3 linked regions of the Nothobranchius furzeri genome follow. The protein of the gene in region 1 purifies or fractionates together with the protein of each later gene. This does not show direct contact. Links are inferred from orthologs where the notes say so. Each region holds a gene or a part of one and is shown on either strand. Other genes may lie near its edges.

Evidence for each region. The genes of interacting proteins can lie anywhere in the genome.
Region 2: the proteins of prkaa1 (region 1) and pars2 purify together in Homo sapiens (affinity purification with mass spectrometry; 3 studies listed by BioGRID and IntAct, with this or other methods). This does not show direct contact. The link is inferred for Nothobranchius furzeri from reciprocal best matches to the Homo sapiens genes PRKAA1 and PARS2.
Region 3: the proteins of prkaa1 (region 1) and fkbp5 purify together in Homo sapiens (affinity purification with mass spectrometry; 3 studies listed by BioGRID and IntAct, with this or other methods). This does not show direct contact. The link is inferred for Nothobranchius furzeri from reciprocal best matches to the Homo sapiens genes PRKAA1 and FKBP5.

Annotation. Positions count from the first base shown.
Region 1 is NC_091746.1:66,884,407-66,888,366, reverse strand, and holds the start of prkaa1 (5'-AMP-activated protein kinase catalytic subunit alpha-1), read left to right. Parts: upstream 1-1,160; 5' UTR 1,161-1,511; coding exon 1,512-1,608; intron 1,609-3,960. UniProt on the Homo sapiens protein: Catalytic subunit of AMP-activated protein kinase (AMPK), an energy sensor protein kinase that plays a key role in regulating cellular energy metabolism.
Region 2 is NC_091748.1:68,230,470-68,234,594, forward strand, and holds pars2 (probable proline--tRNA ligase, mitochondrial), read left to right. Parts: upstream 1-1,325; 5' UTR 1,326-1,509; coding exon 1,510-1,824; intron 1,825-2,602; coding exon 2,603-2,848; intron 2,849-2,915; coding exon 2,916-3,797; 3' UTR 3,798-4,101; downstream 4,102-4,125. UniProt on the Homo sapiens protein: Mitochondrial aminoacyl-tRNA synthetase that catalyzes the specific attachment of the proline amino acid (aa) to the homologous transfer RNA (tRNA), further participating in protein synthesis.
Region 3 is NC_091743.1:66,802,749-66,807,042, forward strand, and holds the start of fkbp5 (peptidyl-prolyl cis-trans isomerase FKBP5), read right to left. Parts: upstream 2,801-4,294; 5' UTR 2,569-2,800; intron 1-2,568. UniProt on the Homo sapiens protein: Immunophilin protein with PPIase and co-chaperone activities. Component of unligated steroid receptors heterocomplexes through interaction with heat-shock protein 90 (HSP90).

The sequences.
Region 1 (3,960 bases):
AACTTAAATAAAATCATTGAAATATATCAAGAAAAATATATTACATGATATATATATACATATATATATATATATATATATATATATATATATATATATATATATATAGGGTTAGGGTTGGGGTTACATATATATATCCGTATTCAATTGTGAGTATAAAATAGATGAGCATATAAAACATCTTTCATGGTGATGTTAGTCCTTTTTAAAGATGCATTGAGCCTCACAGTCTTTCAAAAATGTGGTCACTCATTTTCAGTTTTTAACCTCTTAAATATTTCAGTGTGAAACATTTTGCGTGTGAATCCGTGTATCTTCAAAACACATTTTGCTGAGTAAACAATTTGCTTTTTATTTCTAACCTTTGGAGATTTTTATAATGCACAGCAAGATGCAACCTGGACACATCTGAGCAGGACTGTGTCAAAAAAGAATTAATATTTGAAATAATGATTGTAGATTTTCATTAGCAGGTGTGTGGATTGTGTCAAATTTAAACTGATGAATGTTGGTTTGTTTCCTGCTCTGACTGTTGAAATATGATGTACTGGATTAGTAGCTCTGGTTCATTTTGAAATGTTTTTCTGTTCTTTGCTGTGTAATAATGGAGTTTAAATAAAGTGTTCAGCATTTAAGTTCAGCACTTGCGTTCATTGTTTACACAAAGCTGAACGTCATCCAGCCTGGGTGCTTTCTGTGTCAACACAGATTTCTATTGCTTTATAATAAAGTCTGGTTTACTCACATGCATGCCTTTGTTGTGAATCCTGTTAAAGCTGTTTACTGATATATTTTCTCTAGGTTTATCAAATGGGCGCCACAATCAATTAAAATAGATTTAACCAGATAGTAATTAATAACTTTTTGTTCAGCCAATTTTTGCAGGACACCTGGGAAAGTGACTATTTTGTGACATGACTCATAAACTTTTATTAGATAAATGCGAATTGCGGTCCAGTTTTCCCTAAACCAATAGTAAACACTTCCTGTTTATTGAAATATTTTGCTCAGAACACATGCCCATCGTGCAAATAACAGATGTAATTTGCTTGAATTTTTAACACATTTTTATCATGTACTTTATTTAGTATACAGAAATTTCTATTGATATTAAGGGTCTTTTTAGCAATTGCATAAAGTGATGGATTACATCTTCCGGTTATACAAGATTACAAAATAAATACTTGAATAAATCATATTTGTTTTTATGATTACTTCATTACATTTCAAAGCATACTTTTAAAATGACGTTACTATTTCCTCCGTTACTATTGTCAGAGGATCATGAAAACGAGCTCCTCGCATTGTTTTTCTTAGATGCTAATATTTGCGAGCTTTCTGTGTTACGTGAACGCAACGTCTCGTGTGGTTTTGACGAATCACGCAGACGCCGGGGCGCGTCGTCCCACTTTCGCCGTACGGAGCCGAGCCGCTAGAGAGCCGCACACAGCTGAGTTCGGTCTGTGTCCGCCTGCAGCTAGCTAACCCCGCAGAAAGGCCACTGCGGGAAGATGGCGACGGAAAAACAAAAACATGAAGGAAGAGTCAAAATAGGACATTACATTCTCGGGGACACGCTTGGAGTCGGGACGTTTGGAAAGGTTAAAGGTAGGTCCGACATGCAGAGTACATCCTGCCCACCCAAGATGATAGCGCTTTTAGCTTAGCTGCTAATGTAGCCTAGTCTCAAAGCTAAAGTTGTCGCCAGACCTGGAATGTATGCAGCCACACTCAGTTTGTCTTCTTTGCCATAACGAGTTGGAACTGTTGGGTTGCACTAAACGGTGCAACTTGTTAAACTGATGATTATTTATTTCTTATTACCAGTTAGCGTTGTCAGCAATATGTTGGCCTGCGAGCCAAAAGTCTCTGTCAAGACCCGAGTGAACCTCCTGTGGCTGGTGTTTGCGCCTGTGGCTAAAAAGACGTGTGTTCATTTCCGTTCCCCTGCTTCCACAAAAAATATATATTGGTAAACAAAATCCGCCATCAGGCTCGACCATCACGCTGAGGAAATATTTACGCATTCAGGTGTGTTGAAACAGAAAGTTGGACAAACACCCACGTTTACTCCCCGTGTTGTCAGAGGGTGATTCGCGTTTTGGGCACCGTTAGCTTGGTTTATCAGCACTCGCCTTGACCGGAAGTGCCGATTGAAACCATTAAATTAAACCTACATTTGAACACATTTTTGTTTCAGAAGCATGACTTTTGTCCCTCCTGTTCTGTCAGAACAGCCACTCGCTCTGTTTACAGTTAGTTTCCAGTGACTCATCACTCTCCTCCACTCATGTTATTTGTTGTTGATGAGAAAACAGCGTCTCAGTCCACTGGAGTTGCTGATCCGTGAAGATGCCTGAGTGCTGCACATTTAATATTTCACCGGTGATAAAATCTAATGCTACTGCTCAGTAACCCCTAAGTGGTTTCCACCGTCCATCTAGCTCAAAGGCTCAAACCCTTTATGACCGAAAGAGCCATTTTCAACATCATGCTAAATATAATATGTGTAGGGCTGCAAAATTTACTTGAGCCATATAAATAAGCGCTTATGCACACGTGACCATTTGTTTTCTTTTAAATTTCTAATTCATAGTCTAAAAGGAATCCACAATATTACAGTAAAACCGGGCGTACACTGTGATTTTTGGACCGTTTTGAGCCAATTTTTCTCTCATGCAAGAATCTTTTAGGTCAGGGCAAGTTCGTGTATTGTCTAGTGTATGGGAGTAATGTGAGGTGATTAACACCTCCTGAGCAGCAATCACGCAGTCGCATGAATATCAAACATGTTTGATATTTTGCTCCTCCCTCGTGAGGGTCTCGCAGTCTTGAAGCAGCTCTGCTCACCCAGAACATGCGCCAGCATGGCTGCCGAGCTTATTATGCATCAACACATGTTGTTTGTTTTTATTTTTTCACTTTTCTCCACACACAACAGCGAAGATTGTCAAGAAAGTACGTTGTCTCTGTTTATGTCAAATACGAGAAAAACATTGTTTACGTCCTTTCATTCGTCTTCCTTCTCCATCTCCCATAACCCCCTTTGTTTTTCTACAGCAAGCCCAAAGGACAACAGACGTCAACAACATAGTCTGTATTCGTTTTTTGCAGATAAAGTTTGAGAAACAAAAGTCATCAACAAAAAATCAAGAGTCTCTGGGTCCTGTGGATTTTTGGATTCAAAAGTCTGACATGTGTAAAAACTATTAGCTTGTTTTTATGTGTGACATGTCGCTACCACATGTAGAGTCTGAGCATTGGGTCTTAAGGCTAGTTTATGCTTCTGCATCAGCTCCACGAGGGAGGGAACCACACAAGAGACATCTCCGTCTCATGGGGGCTGTTGCAAATCAATTCCCCGTCTGGACAACAGAAGGCGTAGCGCTGTTCTGTGATATCCTGTCATGCATCTGGTCCAAGATCGTGCATTTACTATTGTGTTTTTATATTTCAGAAACCTTTTAACACGGACAAATATGTCTGTCATTCTCCTCCACCTCTTCATGCACTCACCACCTCTAAACCCACGTTTCCCCTCCTTCCTGTCCACGAATAAATTGCTTGCATCCTTTTACTCCTCCAGTCACGGGTGAATAAAACGTTCATATTTTGAGTTTTTCTACGAGGTATTCTTCAAGCTGCTCCATGTCTTCCGCTAGATATCTTCGGCTCTCTTTATTTTTTTGAGAGGGCAACAGCGGTGCTGTTGACGAAAGTGTTGTCCTAACCAATCACAAGCTCGTGTTCTCCATCTTGTGTTGCTGATTTGGTGCAAATATGTTCTTTGTGTCAGAAAGTCGAATAAACAAACGGACTGGCTAATGACAACAAAACTGCTCAGTATGTTTAACACATTGTTACTAAAAACTCTTAAATGTTTTTTGCTAAATCTGGTATTGAAAGGAAGGGAAAGAACTTAGATTAGGGTAATTCAGCTGTGGCACACACAGATTAGGA
Region 2 (4,125 bases), on another chromosome or scaffold:
AGGGTGGCCGAACTCAGCCTTAGAGATAGGGTGAGGAGCTCAGACATTCGGGAGGGACTCGGAGTAGAACCGCTGCTCCTCCGGATCGAAAGGAGTCAGTTGAGGTGGTTTGGGCACCTGGCTAGGAAGCCTCCTGGATGCCTCCCCGGGGAGGTGTTTCGGGCATGTCCTGCCAGCAGGAGGCCCCCTAGTCAACCTAGGACACTTTGGAGAAGTTACATCTCCATTCTGGTCTGGGAACACCTTGGGGTCCTGCCGGAGGAGCTGGTGAAGGTGGCCGGGGAGAGGACGGTCTGGCGCTCCCAAGTTGGGATGCTGCCCCCGCAACCCGGACCGGATAAGCGGAGGAAGACAACGACGAGGACGATTACAATGAATCTAGAGTTGTAACTTTTATACTGCAAAGTAGTGTGTGATTAGTCAAGGTTAGATAAGTAATCCTGCTATGAGTTGCTGTACATTTGCATCACGTGAGCTATTCATTTGTTATGTTTCGGTATGAGTTAATAATTTTTTCTTTGTAGTTGTTTTTAAAGCGACTGATTGTCAGACACTTTTTTAGTTCTTTGTCCGATGAGTTCCAAAGTTTAACACCTTTTATTGATAAGCTCATTTGTTTCAGCGTTGTTCTACAAAATATTTGTTGAAAATCTCATTGTTGTCTTTGTGGTTGCTCTGTTTGAAATACTTATGACTGTCATTTGGTGGTTTGTATTTGACCTTGTATATGACCAACAGAGTGGAGAGGTTTACTTTGTCTTCAAATTTCAATATGTTTGACTGGATAAACAGTTCATTGGTATGTTCTCTGTAATGTTTTTTATGAATGATTCTGATTTCTCTTTTTTGTAAAATGACTATAGGTTTGGTATTGGTTTTATATGTGCTGCCCCATATTTCCACACAGTAAGTCAGATATGGTGTTTAGTTTTCTTTAGTATCGATATATTTTTGCATTTATTTTTTGTTTTTTGTATTTTATATGGTGTTTCCAGGATAGTTTGTGATCAAGTATTACTCCTAACCTTATTGATTACATTTCCATTGATTGATATATTTTGCCCTTCTTCTTTGATATAAAATTTTTGAGATTTGATTAGTTTGAGGAAATAGAACCCTAATTTGTAATTGTGTTGTTTTATAACACGGGAGAGAATATAGAATACAGAAATGTGCTATTACGTTAAAAAACACGCTTGACCCATTTCTGTTCCTGTTTACGCCCTGCCTGCAGGTGGCGCTGTGACATTCTCAAGCTCTGGTGCACAGCAAATGAAAACCGGAAGCGGAGCTTACTTTAACACGGACTGTGTTTGTAGTTTACAGCCGTCGTTTGGCATTCTCTTTCATGAATTTGTTTTAACTTAAGAAACCACACAGTCGTTGTCTCCATGTGCCTTCGGTTTTTTTTTTATTATTTTGTTTCAGCGCTGGTATCGTTACCTGTACTAACTTAATAAGCTAACATTTGTAGATTACTGGACTTTTGCACACCACTTGAACGTCTTGATGGAGCCAGCGACCCACCAGACCTGGAGGAGATCCTTTTATTACCTCCACGGAGCTTTTATTCTTCCAAAAAGGTTCCAGTCAGGTCAGGCTGAGCACGCAGCTGTCTCTGCGTCCCCTCGTGTCCGTCCGAGGCTCCTGGTGTCTCGTCTGTACCAGCCCTCGAACCTGCGTGATGTGGGTCAGGAGAGCCGGCTGGCGGGGCAGATGACCTGTAAGAGCCAGAGACTCATGCAGCAGGCTGGGCTCATCCATCCATCCAACCCAGGGTGCTACTACTACCTTCCTGCCGCCGTGCGCTCCATGGAGAAGCTGGTGGGTTTTCATTTGCATAACAAAATGTTTTTGAGCAACTGTTTCTGTGGGTTTTATCGTGCTTTTGTGCGTAAAAATAAAAATTAAAAAATTCTGAGGTCTGAGCTCTAAATTAGCTTTTGTTCTGTAATAAAGTAATATCCTAAATGCTAGCTCCTCAGGAGGGAGGGAGCTGGTGCCTAGTCATCTGGCATGATGTGGGGGACACTCAGGACAAGTCTCCAGTCAGTCACAGGGACGTAAAGTCACATTGTATCACATCTGGGGACAATTGTCTCAAAAGTGAGAAAACATGGCAACGTTATGCAGCAAGGCCCAGCTAGGATTCAAACCTGCAACCTCCTTGCTGCAAGGCAACAGTTGTACCAATTGCTACAACTATAAAAGAAGCTACATTTCCAAACACAATAAAGCAGGTCGTGTTGAATATTGACATCAAAACAGAACTTTTTGGCATGAAGTTTTGTTTGAATGGAGCCCGATGAGGACGTTCAGTAAGATGATGACATCTCAACGGTAAAGTGTGGATTTGAAAAGTTATCTGCACGTTTTAACATAATTAAAGGAAATGTATTCTGTGTTTGGTATGAAGAATAACTATTTAAACATCACCACTAGACTCTGGAAGAAATAACAATAACAGAAAATGCGATTAAGTGTCCAAACATTGACAATCCAGTTTATGTTTTCAAGTAAAAAAATAAATTACTGCTGTAACAGAGAATAATTGTATTTATTTGGTTGTTATTCAATTATAACTGGAGTTTTTATTCAACAGATTAAAGTGATTGACCAGGAGATGCATGAGATTGGTGGACAGAAGCTAGACATGCCTAGTTTATGCTCAGCTGATCTCTGGAAAGCCAGTGAGCGCTGGGATTTGATGGGAAAGGAGCTGTTCCGTCTGAAAGACCGCCACAGGGCAGACTACTGCTTAGGTCCCACCCATGAGGAGGCAGTGACGACCCTTGTCGCTCATCAGACGACTCTGTCCTACAAACAGCTGCCTCTGCTTCTTTACCAAGTAAGCCTCCAGCTTGTTACTGTCACTAGCTGTGGGTTTTTTACTGAGATTTCTTCTTCAAATCCAGATCACCAGGAAGTTCAGAGATGAACCCAAGCCAAGGTTTGGCCTTCTGCGAGGGAGAGAGTTCTACATGAAGGACATGTACTCATTTGATGTTAGCGAAGAAGCTGCGAACCAGACGTACGAGTCTGTGTGTGAAGCATACTCTCGACTCTTTGCCAGGTTGAGTCTGCGTTGCGTTCAGGTGCAGGCAGACACGGGAAACATCGGCGGTACTCTCTCACATGAGTTTCAGCTGCCGGCAGACATTGGTGAGGACCATCTGCTGCTCTGTGGAAGCTGCTCCTTCTCCGCTAATGCGGAGACTTTGTCATCAGGCCGAACCGACTGCCCACAGTGCAACACTGGCTCACTGGTAGAATCAAAGGGTATAGAAGTAGGTCACACCTTTTATTTGGGTAAAAAGTACTCCCATATATTCAAAGCCACCTTCAGCAGTGCCCAGAACAAGCCTGCTACTGCAGAGATGGGCTGCTACGGTCTTGGGGTGACGCGCATTCTCGCTGCAGCCATCGAGGTGATGTCAACAGAGGAAGAGATCCGCTGGCCGGGTCTTATCGCTCCATATCAAGTTTGTGTGTTGCCCCCTAAGAAGGGCAGTAGGGTAGATAAGGCGGCAGTCTTTGCAGAAGAACTGGTTCAGACTCTGGGAGAAGCTGTTCCTCATCTGAGAGGTGAAGTTGTTCTTGATGACCGCACACACATGACCATTGGAAAGCGGCTGAAGGATGCTAATAAACTGGGCTACCCTTATGTCATCGTAGTAGGACAGGTGGCTTTAGAGGAAAATCCAAAGATTGAGGTGGTGTGTCAGCAGACGGGTGAGACTATGTTCCTCAGTAAGGATGGACTCCTGGATCTACTGGGAAGAGTGGAAACTGTGTAACAAAACTTTAACAGCTGATCCTGTAAGAATTGTCATGATTGTTTATTTTGATGGTTGAAGTCCAAAGAATACTAAAGACTTTGTCTAGACATTACATAGGTTTTATTCACAAACGAGTAAATTTGCTGTTAAAAATGGCTTGATAAGGTCTCTGGGATTGATTAATGCTTTTTTTTCTTATATGCTCAATAAGAAGAGAAATAAAGGCACAGCTTTATAGTTTTACATTTTTTTTTCTTCCCGGTACCGGTTGCTTGTTTAAATGTATTTCTGAAATAAAGAAATATGTAGGAGCTCCACAAAAGAGGTGTTTTATTATTTAGCCTTG
Region 3 (4,294 bases), on another chromosome or scaffold:
GTACCAAAAATGTTCAGTATATAGCCCAACAGGCGAGCAGAAATCTGCTGCCAGCATCTCGCACATCCATGTGGAAAAAGGAAAAATCAACAGAAGCTTTGCCAGAGCAATAAAAACTGGAATAACATGTCACCTTTAAAGCTTGTTGACTTTTTAATCACAGCAGCAATCATCGTCCATTCGCTCCATTTTACTCCCATCTAAGAAAGTCACCCCTGACGTAACTACCTTGACATTGTACAAAGAAGAGGAAAATGTAACGCAGCTATGGTAAGCATGCTGGCAAACACTGGTGGATGGTTATAATCAGCTGAGACATTAACACATTTCATCAGAGCTCAGCTGCTTTGGATCGTAGGAACGTTACTGCGGTCAAAGTTGAAACAAAACAAATAAAAGTGGCATTTACCAGTATTGGTTTTTTTTTTTTGTTTGTTTGTTTTTCTCAAGTACCACAATCACCAAATAATTCTCTCTTAAAAAACGTTTTAAAACTCAACATAGGTGTATACTTGCACATCATCTGGTAGAAAGAAATTTTTCTCAGTTTAATAATCATTTTTATTGTTTTTGCTCTAAAGAGAGAAGTCTGGAAATCTAAACAAAGGAAAAGAACTTTGTGTTCTTTCATCTGGCGGACAAAGAGAGACAAGATGTGACTCTAATGACTTAAACACTTGACTCTTGGACCAACAAACATGTTAAAGGCTTTGGTTTTTATGTTTATAAGAAGCTTTATAAACTAAGATAAGAAATATCTCCAGTAAAGGCAAAACTGATCAGAAAGCAGCCTCGCGAACACAGACTTTACTGTGAACTCGCTTTAATAAAAGCAGCTCTTATTAGTAGATTTATTTTCCGTTAATTACACAGAAGGGTCCGTCATTCTTTGCAGATATCACGAATGAGCAAAAAGATGCTTCTCTGCATAAAAAGAAGACCATGTAAATAAACCTCTAATTATTAAACGACAGGCTGAGCAGCAGAATCCTTGTTTTGCATACTGATCAGGAAATAGAATTTGAATCGTTTCTAAATGATTTCTTATGATGCTGAGGCACTTTCCATGCTCCTCATCACACAGGTTGAAACCACAAAGAGCCGTCTTGACTGGCATCACTTTACCCCGCATCCTCACTTTTGTACTTGTATGGAAAAATACAGTTTTTATCCTGAAAAATGTCCCAAAACGTCCGTCCATCAGCAGCTCCACCCTTCCCCGTGTCTTTTAAATTCCACGGATGTCATTTCAGATGTAACTCATGTAACTCGTGTGTCCATGTGTGTGTCTGAACACAATGTTCCTTCTATTCACAGTTCGCCACCGGCAAAGCCCAACAGCGTTCATCAACCTTAAACCCCCCTGATGCACCAGCTTTAATTTTATTTAACAAAAAAAAGGCAAATAAGCTGTTCTAATTTGGTAAATTTTGCATACACTCACATTTTTTACCCCCCACATGATTTAAACTGAGATAAACCAGCGTTGTGACTGCTTATCATCACTGATGATTGCAGACAAGTAAAAAGTTACTCATCCCATCATTGTGATCTCGCCCTTCTTTTTGGTGTATTTCTGTCATCTCTTCCTCGTAAATAAAATATTGACACTTTGCAAAAGCAGAAACAGGGTGTAAATTGTTCCAGCACTGATAAGATGGTACGTAGGCTTCATGTACCAATAACTAAGATGCCCTGCGGAGGAATGCAGGAACAGAACACAATGAGCCAAAGACCACATCCAGAGACGCACACAGTGTATCTGTACATTCTGTTTCACATCCGTACTCTGTTGCTGATTCATACCTAACAAGTGGAGACTCACTGATAATCCTGCACACACAGACACCCCAAAAAAACTAAACTTCTTTTATTAACCTGTTATGGTGCTAAGATTATGATAATAACTTGATATTTATAGATGTCTATCATAAAAATGCTGTAATCATTAAAATCTATTTGTTTTCCAGGCAAAAATTATGCCTGACCTTAACTTTTATAAGTTGTTAACTGACAAATAAACTTTATTTTTTTTCACCTGAGCTGATGAAAATGTGTGCATTTTTATTAGATACTTATAGAATAGTCCTGGCTGGAACTAATTTTGGAGGACCATTTTTGTGCTTATCCCCTCAGCACCTGGTGTCAACCTAAACATTCAGAGTTCTTCACAAGCTGCTCAGTAATATGTAACCAGGTTGTAATGAATCAGCTCAGAGTCGAGTTGAGTTATAATTCTCAGAAGTAGCCTGCACAAAACCCCTGTAATTTATGAAAGGGACACCTAAGCCTAGAGGGATCCTGGATGAGAACATCCACCAACCTCTTCTGGGACCTTCACAAGAAGGCTAAGGACCACATTCAGCCAAAACCTATCCATCCTGGCTCACTTTCCCCCCTCCTTTAAATAATCTTGTATATTCTTATTCTTTAGTGAGACTGTGCACAAGTTCCGTTTAACTCAGCCAGGCGTGAACGAAATTTAAAAAAAAAGATTATTTTAATTAACTCCTAAATTAAATAAAGTATTTCAGAAAGATGAAGATCTGTGTATTAAAAGAGACTTACGATGTTTTGAGGTCCGCTTTTTTATTTTCTTCCCCCAGATGGTTGCCGGTGACGAACAGCTGCAAATTCACTCGGTGGATGTTTATTTCTAAGAAAATGCGTCTTCCTATCTCAGATCCAGCAGGGTACTAAGTGTTCTGCCCATGTGGTTCTTAGCTATGGACTCTTTTTGTCTTTATCCCACCCCCCTCTGCTCCTTCTTCCTCTCCTCAGTGATGAAAGTACCGGTGCGGTCGCAACACGCAGCTCTGACTCCAAAATGACACTGAGGAGATACTACAGAGACAAACTCGCACAAAAATGACAGAGGCAGGAGGAGGCGAGGGGGGTGGAGGGGGGTGGCGGGGGTAAGCAGAAACGAGATGAGTTGTGGGGAGGGTGTTTAGTGTAAAATTAAGGGCAGGTCTTGGAAAGCAGCCACAAAGTAACACAATGTTCCGGCTGTACTGTAGCTGTGCCGCTGCTGATGAGAACACAGTGTTCCAACAGACACCCTGACCTGTAACCCGTTCCGTGCCAGGCCGGGCGGGAACAGCCTGTTCCGCTGCAGCGTGTTCCTCCTCTCTCCGCTCAGCGGACAACACATATCAACAACAAGAGGAGCTGTCTCCGTCTCTCTGTCAGTCCCAGCCGAACCGAACCCCGTAGCAACACGGAGACGTGTCAAAGCACCGACACTGACGTACACCTCTGAGTCCGATGAGTCGCGCGGTTTGACGGATTACTGTTTCTGAGGGAGACGGTAAAAACTCCTCCGCCTTTATCTTAGTTTTTTTTATTTAACGCTGTAGTTACCGACAAAAGCGCGACTTTAGTAGCTGTTTTGTGCGATGATGTGCTGTTATTATTAATTAATGCTCTGTTATGGCTGTTATTTGAACACGAAAGGGGGAGTTGCACCAGCTATATTAGCTTAAGGCTAAACTTGCACAGGTGTTTTTAGCTAGCTATTGAGAATAAAAGCCTAACCGGTGCAGCAATACGTTTATTTGTGCTTTCATTTCCTAAATTAGGACTTTAAAAGAGAATGCCAACAGGAACTGTTTTGTTAAACCAATAACTTGAGTCGTAACTTAACTTTTTCTGCCTGATTAAGTTATTATGTCAGATTAGCATTTTGTATTAGGGAGTGACAGATTATCCCTGCCAAGAAGTAGGATGCTGAGGTTCAATGTAATTTTATATTCTCCACCCAGGAACTAATTAAATACTATTTAAAGTAATTTAACATTCACCAGGCTATCTTTTCCATTTGTTGTCACCTTACACTAAGAATAAGTTATGTTACATGCTAACTTTATACTTCTAGTTAATACGTAATTGGATTTTGAAGCTATTGAGTTCATTATTGAAAAGTAACCATCCAATTGACTATGCAATGAAATATAATTAAAAAGCTTCTAGAAAATAATTATGGATTAAACTGCCCTAAACTCAGCATGAAAGGTAAAAAGATGAACCCATCAGGTAATATGCAAGATTTCTAAACGTACGTTTCTGAATTTACTTTTAAATTTCAGTAAATATGAATGCATCGACTCTTGCATCCGCAGCAGAGTAATTTCACTTTACAGTGAGCACATTGTTCCATGGATTTTTATTTCTCTTGTAGTTACATAACATCATAATGACACTTTGTTCAGGTGGTGTTATATGAGACTCTCTTTCATAAGGTTTAATATTTTATGATCTCATATTTGCAAGCCATATCATTTCAAGGAAAATT